3 linked regions of the Schizosaccharomyces pombe genome follow. Changing the gene in region 1 together with any one later gene gives a genetic interaction. Each region holds a gene or a part of one and is shown in the gene's direction. Other genes may lie near its edges.

Region 1 (4,454 bases):
AAACAAAATAAAATTGAATAAGTAAATAAATATAGCCTGTATGCAAGGATACGAAATTTTAAATAAATAAAAAAAAGCGCGGCTCAGATAAATTAAAGATATACTTTGTGTATTAAAAATCAATTTCTTTTATAATCGCAGCGATTAACTACTAACTCACGTCACACAAGAGAACAAATAAAAAAAATAAAAAAAAAATAAAAAGGTTCCAAATAGCAAAACAGTCTTAAATGAGTGCTTTACTCAATTTGTATAACGGGCATCTCCATCAGACTACAACGCCGCTTTTTACTTGAATATTTGGACGGTAATTATGATTACACTACGAATGTAAAAAATAGGCAAGTTACAGTAATCAAAGTTAAATTTTTAATATGAGTTGATGTGTAATCGCTCCTATAAGATTACTTCGAGATAGAAGGTAAAGGAATTTATAAAAACCATGACGGAACTAATCACCTTAAGATGCTTTTTAACAAGTACCCGAAATCTCTGGAGTTAATCATTTCAACTTTGTGTAATAAATGATGCAAGCATTCTACTGACTTAATATTCATATACATTCAACAGTCTAGCTTACAGTGCACATGTATAGCAAAAAAACATTTTATGTTTCAGCATACATTTTATTACCTTGGAGTACTAGCTTCTAAATACAATACATATTCTCCAATTAGGGCATTTATTCTAGATCAATATTTAAAATATCCACATTCATATTCTATTCCTAAATCATGCACAGTAGTCTAGAATTGTTCAACCTTCAACAATGATTAAATAATTTTCTGAAGCAAATCATCCTAGACAGTGGAAGATAATATAGCTTATTCACAAAAAAAATAAACATAAAATCAACTTAAAAATCATTTATGCCTTTCAACATTATTTCTGATTAAACTGTATTGCCAAAATAATTTTGTAGACTGTTGTTTGCTATTTCTTAAAATATTGAACAAATTTGAATAATCAAGTAGTTTTTTTCTCACTCAGTGCATCAAAAATGGGAAATATAAATTACTTAAGTTTTAAAGTAATAACTGGATGTCACACAAAGATGAAATACACAAAGGCCAAAATAATCATCGAAACTACAAGAAGTTAAAAAGTAACAGGTAAATGCTTCTGAAGTACAGTACAGTTCAGTCTAGTCAATCAGTTGAATACCGGTATGACCTTTGCAATCTTTTCTCCTTCAACTTGCTAAGCATATCCACTGCGCCTCTACTTCTCTACAGCACGGTAAATACTTTGTTTACATGACTAAATAAATCTGTTTACACTGCAGATGGACAGATCGTTGCTGCGGTAACGGTAATTGTCAGTAAACAAATGTCTGAAACCATTTACGGAAACGTAAATACCGTTGCATATGAGCGAAAAATAAACAAGATTAGCATAGCTGGAAGAAGCATTTTCTATACCAAATAATATTTATGATTTTCTGCTTTTTTCTAGTATAAAAAAATCCTACCTCTTCAGAGATCTGGTGACTGTTATTTTTCACTAAAACAAACAAGTGATGTCACGTTTAAAAGCCCGTGAATGTGACTTTTTAAGGGTCAAACACTGCGGTTTGTGTCTCTCCCTTTAAATGTTTATGCGATGAATAACCTTAAAACCAAAGCTGGAATACAAATGAAGTTTTGACAGAAAATACAGCATTGTTTACATTGAGTGTTTACAATTCTCAATCTGTAAAGAGTCGAACGCCTTGTTGTCATGCCAATGTGTTTAACGAGAGTCAAATTACTCGTAAACGTACAAGTTTAGCCAATAAACGGTCTTCAAAGTTTGGTCGCAAGCTCCTCGTTGGTGTTGTGGCCTAGCAACCAGCAATACACAATTACTCATTGTTTACAGTAAACATTGCAACGAAATTGCGCACCTCGTTGTCCCCCTTTTTATCTAACAAGTCACAATTCTTTGCATTTTCCGGGTATATATAGATGTCTTTTCCGCAACTCGCTTCATCCTCAGCGAACTACATTTGAGTTTTAAACACTCTTTTACTTCTTTATTCATTACCCACGCATTCATTTATAAAACATATCATATATATTACCCGTAATATATAGCATATACCTTTTATAAATACCCGCTATTCTGCATATCTTTTGTGGTCAATCTCTGTCTTTTTGATTATTACTACGTTTCCCCTTATAAACGCATTTTACATATTTGTCCTCTTTCTCTTTTGATTTAACAAATTTACCTTCATATTCCCTTTTTGCATCCTAAAAACTATCTTTCGTTATATTTTTCCAATCATATTTCTACATTATATAGTCTAAAGTCAATATGTTGTTCAAATCATTCGCTCTCACTCTTCTTTTCGCCGCAGCTCGCGTACAAGCTGCTTCCAACTGCTCCAGCGGCCCTTACAATATCTCCGCCCAAGGTACTCTTGACGAGCTTAACAGCTGTACTGTATTGAATGGTGATTTGTACATTTCTGATGCTGGTAACTCTGGCATCACCACCCTTACTGTTAATGGAATTGAGTCCGTTCAAGGTGATGTTGTGGTTTCTGATGGTCAATATTTGACCTCTCTTTCCTTCCCTTCTTTGAAAAACGTTTCTGGTGCTTTTAACGTTAACAACATGATCCGCATGAACAACCTTGCTACCCCTGAGCTCACTTCGGTTGGAAGCCTAAATCTTGCTGTTTTACCAAACTTACAGGAGCTTCAATTTAACGCTGGTCTTTCCGATTCTGATAGTGTCGTAATTGATGACACTCAACTTCAAGCTATTGACGGTATCAGTTTGGATTCCGTCACTACTTTCCAAGTAACCAACAATCGTTATATTCAGGAGATCACCATGGAGGGCCTCGAAAGTGCTCAAAATATCCAGATTTCCGCTAACTCTAAGGGTGTAAGCGTAAACTTCAGTAAACTTTCTAACGTTACCACTGCTACTTTTGATGGTATCAGCAACGTCTTTATTGGTAACTTGAAGAGTGCTGCTGGTAACTTGTATTTCTCTAACACTACTCTGGATAACATTTCGGTTCCTTACCTTACCGAAATCGGACAAAGTTTTGCTGTTTTGTACTCTCCTGAGCTTACTTCCCTCAACTTCCCTAACCTTACCACTGTTGGTGGTGGTTTCGTTATTAACGATACTGGTTTGACTTCTATTGATGGTTTCCCCGTCATCTCTGAAATTGGTGGTGGTTTAGTTCTTCTCGGTAACTTCTCAAGCATTGATATGCCTGATTTGAGTGATGTGAAGGGTGCTCTCACTGTCGAGACTAAGGCTACCAATTTCACTTGCCCTTGGTCCAATGATGACAGTGTTATTAAGGGTGATGATTTCACTTGCCAAGGTAGTGTTGCTACCATTTCTGCTACTAGTTCTTATGATTTGTCTTCCACTGTCTCTGCTACTAGTGGATCTGCCACATCTGCCACTGGTTCTGCTACCACCACTTCATACTCTTCTGATTCTTCTGCATCTTCCTCTTCCTCTTCCTCCCATGAAAGCTCAGCCGCTTCTAACGGCTTCACTGCTGGTGCTTTAGTTTTGGGATCTCTTTTGGTTGCTGCTCTTGCTATGTAAGTGTCGTCATGAACAATTTGTTACTTTTTTTATCGAAAGTATAGAAAATTAATATTTGAATGTTACCGATACTTATTTGGCGAGATGAGCTGGCTTATCTCTGGTGATGTGGGTTACTGAAATGTTTATTAATACAGGCCGTTTTATTTTCTTCTTTATAATCGGGTGTGATTAAACATATATCTTTAGAAGAGATTAACTTCTATATGATCTTAGAAAAGTGTTGAGAAGGTTTGATGTTCCTTTTCTTTAATTTGAGCTTTAAATTATTTATATGAGTTGCTCTTAGGCTATTTTCAAAGTTATTGATTTTGCCTTTTTTATAATTAGTCTATCGAATATTTGCATTTAGTATATCTTGAATTTGATTTTTTTAATTTTTAATACAAGGCGCGCGGTAGTTAGTAATAAAATAATTTGATTGGCAAAGATGAGACATAAGGCGTATGATATGCATAACCGAGAGTTAAGAAATTACGAGTAAATGATTAAGTAACTTAATGGGATGTTATTATAGATTGCAAGACTACCGAGTTTATTTACTCTTTACTTAGAAATATAGATTTTATTGTTTTTATCAAAATAGAGGTAAAATTGAAGAAAAATAACAGAATAAAGAGCCAATGTACTGTGGAAAAACACCACTTAAAAGGATGGAATAAACTGCCCTTTAACAAAATTTCGAATATAGTTATTTTTTTCCTTTTGAGCCACCGTTGGCTTCCGCTGCCTTGCGCTCATCAGCTGCACGTTGTTTAGCACGCATAATTTCAGCTTGACTTAAAATATTAGCTAATTGGTTTTTAAACAAAATCCTGATTCCATTCCACTTACGCTTCAAGACGTTTGGTAGGATCTCCGGCTTGTTTCTTTTTAGAAGCTTGAGACTT
Region 2 (2,684 bases), 2.4 Mb from region 1:
ATCGGTCACTTGCATCCACAAGGCTAACATCATGAAATTGGCCGACGGTCTCTTTCGAAGGACGTTTTACGACGTTGCTAACGGTTACGACGCTATTACTCCTAAGGATTTAATTGTCGACAATGCCTCCATGCAGGCTGTTTCTCGTCCCCAGCAATTCGATGTTTTAGTGATGCCGAACTTGTACGGTAGCATTCTTAGCAACATTGGAAGTGCTTTGGTCGGTGGCCCCGGTGTCATTCCAGGTGCCAATTTTGGTCGTGACTATGCTCTATTCGAGCCTGGTTGCCGTCATGTTGGTTTAAGTATTACTGGACGTGGGGAAGCCAATCCTACAGCTGCCATCCTTAGCGCTTGCTTGATGCTTCGTCATTTAGGCCTAAAAGATTATGCTGATCTTATCAATGCCGCTACTTATTCTGTCATTGAAGAGGGTAAAACCCTGACCAAAGACTTGGGTGGTTCGGCTTCCACTGGTGATTTCACGCATGCCATTTTAGAAAGAATGGAAAGCTTATAATTTAATTATTCCCCCCTTCCTTTTAAATGATATACCCTCCTGTTAATGAGTGTAATGAAAGCTATTGAAGTCTTAGGCTTTTAGCCGTGTCAACTACAATTTTGACGCTCATGTTACTACTCCTTTTCTCTAAGTAAGTTGAAACGTTTCGGAAGCTTTTTTTGATATTTACGTCTTCTATCAGTTATGATAACACCTCTTCCGTCGGCAAGGAACTCCTGCCTGACAAGAAGATGATGAATTTTTCTTACGTACGTTCCGAATATGATTGATATTTTAATTTCATTTTTGTGTGGATTTTCCATACTTTGTAGTGTCTGGTTTGTTCGTCCTTATTACTTTGTATTTGATGTAAATTATGGAATTCTACTTTTTATAGCATAAATGCCTGATTAGTCAATTTTGGAACGAAAAAGGTTTGATAATTTCCATTGTGCCTCCTCTAATAATCACAATTGCTAGATACGTCGATTTTCCAGAAAGATAGAGGATGGTAATTAGTTTCCTAAAACCCAAGTTTTATTTTTAAAATTTAGTTATGAATACTCTTAAAGAATAATTTAATAATCTTTAACAGGATTTAGATTAACATAGTGGTTCACAGTCTATTCATGTAGATTTACACATTCATCTATCTATGTCGATAACAGCAATGCACAGCCCTTAAATGTGAAAGATGTGTCTTTTAAAGTAGTAAAAGGTTAGTTCAAACACATTACTTAACTTATCTCCAACCTTCGAAGTCATTTATATTCCAGTTGTGTAAGCGACCTTTGCAACTATCGTCGTTCTTAGGTTCAACTAACAATATGCGCAACATTTCTATATAGGCTAATCGAAGGATGCCGGCTCCTCCTAATGCCTATCAATATATCCAAAAATTAGGAGACCATTTATCGTCAAAAATTTCTCAACAATAGCCATATCTTCTACCAGACTACAAAATATACCATAGTATTTTACTATGCGTTATAATATTTTACTGAATTTGTGCTAAGAAATTAATGTCCACCGCTAGAGGACGCACTAAACGTGACTGCTTTTTTCGGTAAGGGCTCTTACGGTGCTTTCAGTGAAGAAGGAATCCTTTGTCCACCACAATCATGCAGATTTTCGTCAAGACTTTGACCGGAAAGACTATCACCCTTGAGGTGGAGTCCTCTGACACTATTGACAATGTCAAGAGCAAAATCCAAGACAAGGAAGGAATTCCTCCTGACCAACAACGTCTTATCTTCGCTGGAAAGCAATTAGAGGATGGCCGTACTCTTTCTGACTACAACATTCAAAAGGAGTCTACCCTTCATTTAGTTCTCCGTCTTCGTGGTGGTATCATTGAGCCCTCTCTAAAGGCTTTGGCTTCCAAATACAACTGCGAAAAGCAAATCTGCCGTAAGTGCTATGCCCGTCTTCCTCCCCGTGCTACCAACTGCCGCAAGAAGAAGTGTGGTCACACCAACCAACTTCGTCCCAAGAAGAAGCTCAAATAGATTATTTCTTTTGGGGTATTTCGTGTTCTTGTTATTTCTGTCTTGGTAACTTTACAGATAAAGAAATATTAAGAATATTTTGGATTACACGGATGTAAACATGTGAAATTCACTGTAGTGTAGCAAAATTCGAGCAATAAAAAATACTTGTCTTAAAACTGTATCCTTTGTAAGAATGTGGAGCTATTGTAGTGTGGATAGTATTTGTTGTTAACGATTACAGTATCATTTAAATTGATGGTGATGCATTTGATTGTGCATAGCTTTAAAATGTTATGTTAGACGATATGCATTCCTGTAATTATTCTAACTCTTGTCAGAATGCCAAAAGATCATGTATACAAATGAGCAACATCATGACTGACTAGGTAAAAGGAAAAAAATTAATGGAATTACAGTAGAAAGGCTAATTTTTAACTACTCGCTTCGAAAAGTCCTCATGGACGAGACTTGGTGGAAATTCCATTCTGCTTTGCTATTGATTGCATCGTAGTCCCAGGACCATATGCATAAAATAAGTTGGCTCCATATTTGCTTTTGACTGTTTTGAGGCAATTTTTAAATAAAACAGGACGAAAACACTGTAGCAATAATTGTCTCCTTATATCCTCTTCATCAGCTGGATAAAGCTCAGCTGTGACATTAGATATGATGGGTAAAAAGCGCTTACCAGA
Region 3 (4,796 bases), on another chromosome or scaffold:
TTTGATGGATCAGATAATACTTCGTAAGCATGTTGTATAATTTGAAACTTTTCCTCAGCTGCTGCCTTCTGGTCAGCAGTGTGACGATCAGGATGAAACAGTCTTGATAGTCTGTAATATGATTCTTTTATTTGGTCACTTGTAGCCTAGAGTTTAAAGGAAATGTTAATAAAATATGCATTCCCAAATGAGATTATTTATACTTACATCTTTGGGAAGTCCAAGAGCCAAATAAAGCTCCCAAGAATCCGCTTCATCCATGACTAATCTTTTATTTTAAAATAAATTACTTCAAATTATCTTAATTTACGTGTAAATTTTCAGAAACCACAGATTAGAGTATGGATCGTGCAGACATATGTATGATCAAGGTATGTGCTCACTATAAGTGACCAAGGTAATGTAAAGTTTGATGTAGGTTGTAGGATTAGAGTGAGCTATAGCAGTATTTTAATATAGGAACTTTTAAATAATAAAACTTTATATGATCAAATTATCTTGGCTTTGATGCCATTTCGAAAAGCATGAGTTTACTAGTTAAACTAATTGTGCTCGGGAGCAGCTTTTTGTATAATTGCCAAACCCATGCGTATTTCATTTTACACAGTTTGCAAACTATGAAATTCTAAGACAAACTTAAAATAATAAGTCTCGAATTTGAATAATGCTAAATTGGCTTTAGATATTATGTTTAATGATTTACAAAAAGTGGAGATGGTATAAAATAATGGATTGCATACTAAAGATATCAGCTTAATGAATTGATATGTAGTCATAACTTTCATTCTTAATTTCAAAACAAATAAGCGAATGAAGCTTTTCATGACTAATGACATTTTTCGTTTGATAAATAATACTGTTGAGGGATTTTATTATCAGATGACACCATTTGACTTAGATATAAAGTATTACTGACAGGAATTTTTCAATTTACTTGAAATGTCTTATACTTGATTCTCAAAAACGTACTAATGCACTTTTAAATGCGAAACCAATTCAGCGTACAAAACCAACTATTAGATTAAGGAAGCACTAAAATTGAGAATGGTGAACTAGAAAAAGCTTTGTGATATATAAAAAATCTAAAAAGTTTCAAGAATAAAGTACCAAGGGCAGTGCAGCTATCATTAAAGCGAATGGAACAAGTTAAAAAACAAGTTTCTATTACTACCAACGAGATGTCAAATGTCTCTTAAGCTTATAATTAAAACAAGAATACCTAATTTCGTTTGCCATTTTACAAATAGCGTCTTTGGTTTTTGACTCGCTTACCCATAGCTTAAAATAAGCTCAGCAGGAAACGAATTTCTATAGGTATAGGAACTAGCATTGTATGAATAAACCATATTACTTATAGTAGTCCTTGGCTAGTTACACGAAAGTTGTATATGTTTATGTTATATTATAATAAGCAATTATTGATGAGGATAGTTCATAGGATACATAATACAAACCTCTGTTTGATGCTATGGATTTGATATTAGTTTAACGGGATCGGTCTTTCAGTATTTAGTATTATTCTCTGCGCTACTCTATTTAGAGTCTTAATCAACATCCTACATTTTTATCCTCGCTTTATCTGCTCTTTTACTAACACAGAAATTTGAATTTAAGCATCAGTTTTTATTTAGCGCGAACCGGTATACGATTTAGTGAAGCGCTATAAATTTAGCATATTCGTGAAGCTCAGAGGTTGTCGTCGTTATTGTTGATTAAGCACCTCATCTATTTGCTAAACGGGTTAAATAAAATGTGATGGCAGCCGGATTCGAACGCTGATATATTAGATTGTTTACCTACGCCTAGTATTTTGTTGCTACCAGCGTATCCATCCTTCAACAAACTACACCGCTAAACAGGTTTTACAATCTTTTGCAAGAAAACGAAGGTTTCTAAGGAGACTAGCGTCAATTCGGACGTACATTTGAAAAATTTTAACGTGGTCCCTTCATTCGACGTAAAGTCGGCTCTTGCACTTCCGCTTTCTTTCTTCATAGATTTTTGTTTATTCAATACTGGTACTGCATTGATAATTTCTTGACCCACAATTTCCACTCCTTTATTATTAGTATTTTATTGTCATTCTTTTTGGTGGGATTTGGCTCATATCATTAACTTTTACAAAACATAATTTTTTTTGTGCTCTCCCAAACTTCTTTCTTTTAGTCGTCTTGGCTTAAATACCCCTTGATACCTTTTTTTAGCATGTTTGGTGTTTATTTTGTTCTCCTATTTCTTTCAAGCGCCCTCATTCATGTTGCTAATGCTGGTAGTAATGCTGAGTGGCGCAAACGTATTATTTATCAAATTTTGACGGATCGTTTCGCGGTTGATGATGGAAGCACGGATAATCCATGTGATCCGGATGCAAACCAGTATTGTGGTGGTACCTGGAAGGGTATCGAGAACAAACTGGATTACATCGAGGATATGGGTTTCAATGCGATTTGGATATCTCCCATTGATAAAAATATTGAAGGAGATATCGACGGTGCTGGTTATGCTTATCACGGCTATTGGAACACTGATTATGAGTCCCTCAATGAACACTTTGGTACAGAAGATGATTTAGTTAGCCTTATTACTGCTGCTCATAAAGCGGGTATCTGGGTAATGTTGGATAGTATCGTCAATTCTATGGCACTTGCTCCTCCGCTAGCAGATGCTGACTATTCATCTCTTAATCCTTTTAACAAGGAGAGCTACTTCCATCCGTACTGTCTTATTGATTGGGATATCACAGATAATGAGACGAACGTAATGGATTGTTGGCAAGATTCTGGTGTATTGTTGGCCGATTTGGATGTCGAAAGTTCAGACGTTTCTTCCTATTTGAGTGATCATTTCAAAAGTCTTATTTCTAAATACGATTTTGATGGACTGCGTATTGATGCTGTGAAAATGATGAACTACACATTCTTTCCTGATTTCGTTGATGCTACGGGTGTTTACAGCGTTGGTGAAGTTTTCTCTTATGATCCTGATACTATGTGTAGTTACATGAGTGTCCTTCCTGGAGTTACCAATTACTTTTTGCAGTTGTACATAAACTTCTCTTTTACTGCTACTGGTGCTGGATTCACTCTTATTCCCACTTACCAGGAGGTAATGGCTTCAAACTGTTCAAAATATGATAGTACTTTAATGTTGACTTTTATCGAAAATCACGATTTGTACAGATTTCCTTATTACACAAGTGACCAGTCACAGATTATGGGGGCTTTGTCATTTGTGTTGATTTGGGACGGCATACCCTCAATTTTCTACGGACAAGAACAGGGATTCAATGGTGGTGAGGATCCTGCTAATCGTCCTGCACTTTGGCTTACTGATTACGATCAATCAAACCCGTACTATACCGTTATTAAAACGATGGTTGCATTTAGAAAGTTTGTCATTACTCAGGATCCGGATTGGGTCACTTCCACATATCAATCGATCGAATCTGCTGTTGATCACTATGTTGGACAAAAAAATGATGTTCTCGTCATGTTCAATAATATGGGAGTTACCAACAACCTTACAATTTATGAAGTTGAGACGAATTACACTGCCAATGAAGTAGTCTCTGATGTCTTCGGTCACAGAACTTTAACCGTTGGTGCCGATAAAACCTTGACTGCCAGTATGACCAACGGATATCCCTTGATTATGTATCCACATTCGAAGATGTCTGGTTTTACATTACCAACTGTCAATCGTACAGTCATGCCATCTACATCGGCAACTGCCACAACCACTGTCTATACCTCTTATTACTCTCCTTCTTATTCTGCCAGATCATTTACTGGTACTGGTAGTATATTTACGATCTCTTCATCATCTAGACTTATCCTTTCTTTCAAGACTTTAGTTTTTGGCTTGGGTGTTACCGCAATGCTCTTTGTTTTATTCTTCTAGAATGCCCAAATAACCGCGTTAATTTTTAAAATTTTAACAATTTGCGTTTTTTTCGTCAAGGAAGGTCATTTTTTGGGTTGAATCTAATAACCATATAATGAGAATGAGTTAATTTATGCCTACAGCTTATTCTTGTTCTGATGCTTTAATCTCTCACTTGTTATTATTTGTCTTTGTAAACCTTTTTTTATCATACATATCTTTTAAACTGGCATATCTATTGTCTTGGAGCAGAAATGAAAAAAATTATCTGCCTAGTGGAATAGTCAATGAAAAGTAATATTGCATTTTTTAACAACCAAATGAAAAAGTACAGTTCTTATGCGTAGTTTCGCTTTACATCAAAAACATTTGCTTACATTGGTAAGTAAAAATAAAAAAATTTATCGAGTAGACATGTTGTTAGTATATTAAGGTGTAGGTCATCCAATATCACCATAAGCTCATAAAATTTGTACTTAAACTTATATTCTTTTCTAACGCTTTCATTTAAATTTAATAGTTTTTTGATGGAAAAGTCACATAATTGCAGGTGTTACTTAACATTGGTTTACGTTACAATCATTGAACATTTCTAAAATTCCCCATTCCACGGACCCGTATTCATATTCCATTTGTAATTAAAGAAAGTTTTGTTCTTGGATAAAGGTAACCAGTAGTTACTAAAAAGTTCGAACTTTTGGGACCTTCAGATGTCTTTAACCTAAACGACCGCGTAATTTGCTATTGTTTACATGTTGTGTTTCAACTGCTAAATTAACAGGAGAAGGAGAATAATTGTAAGCTAGCAGATACTGTGTGGAGCGATCTTTGTCGAACAGGCAGTATTCGTTTTGTCTGGAGACCTTACCTGAGATTCTGATACTAAACGTTGTAATCATCTTAGAGTAACTGGA

Evidence for each region. Genes that interact genetically often act in the same process or in processes that back each other up.
Region 2: of ecm33 (region 1) and ubi1, extra expression of one rescues a mutant of the other (dosage rescue), as found in Schizosaccharomyces pombe (one study listed by BioGRID).
Region 3: of ecm33 (region 1) and aah3, extra expression of one rescues a mutant of the other (dosage rescue), as found in Schizosaccharomyces pombe (one study listed by BioGRID).

What each region holds. Positions count from the first base shown.
Region 1 is NC_003424.3:1,569,105-1,573,558, reverse strand, and holds ecm33 (extracellular leucine-rich repeat domain, receptor L domain-like Ecm33), read left to right. Parts: upstream 1-1,969; 5' UTR 1,970-2,298; coding exon 2,299-3,564; 3' UTR 3,565-3,946; downstream 3,947-4,454. Other genes in the region: SPOM_SPAC1705.02 (uncharacterized protein), read right to left, coding at 4,256-4,343, 4,399-4,454.
Region 2 is NC_003424.3:3,967,386-3,970,069, forward strand, and holds ubi1 (ubiquitin-60S ribosomal protein L40 fusion protein), read left to right. Parts: upstream 1-1,610; 5' UTR 1,611-1,623; coding exon 1,624-2,010; 3' UTR 2,011-2,173; downstream 2,174-2,684. Other genes in the region: isocitrate dehydrogenase (NAD+) subunit 1 Idh1, read left to right, coding at 1-520; S-malonyltransferase Mct1, read right to left, coding at 2,448-2,684.
Region 3 is NC_003421.2:833,070-837,865, reverse strand, and holds aah3 (GPI-anchored glycosyl hydrolase family 13 protein), read left to right. Parts: upstream 1-1,837; 5' UTR 1,838-2,205; coding exon 2,206-3,900; 3' UTR 3,901-4,285; downstream 4,286-4,796. Other genes in the region: mib1 (DNAJC11 family protein), read right to left, coding at 1-146, 208-261. UniProt on the Schizosaccharomyces pombe protein: Has a role in cell wall biosynthesis where it is involved in maintaining cell wall strength and shape.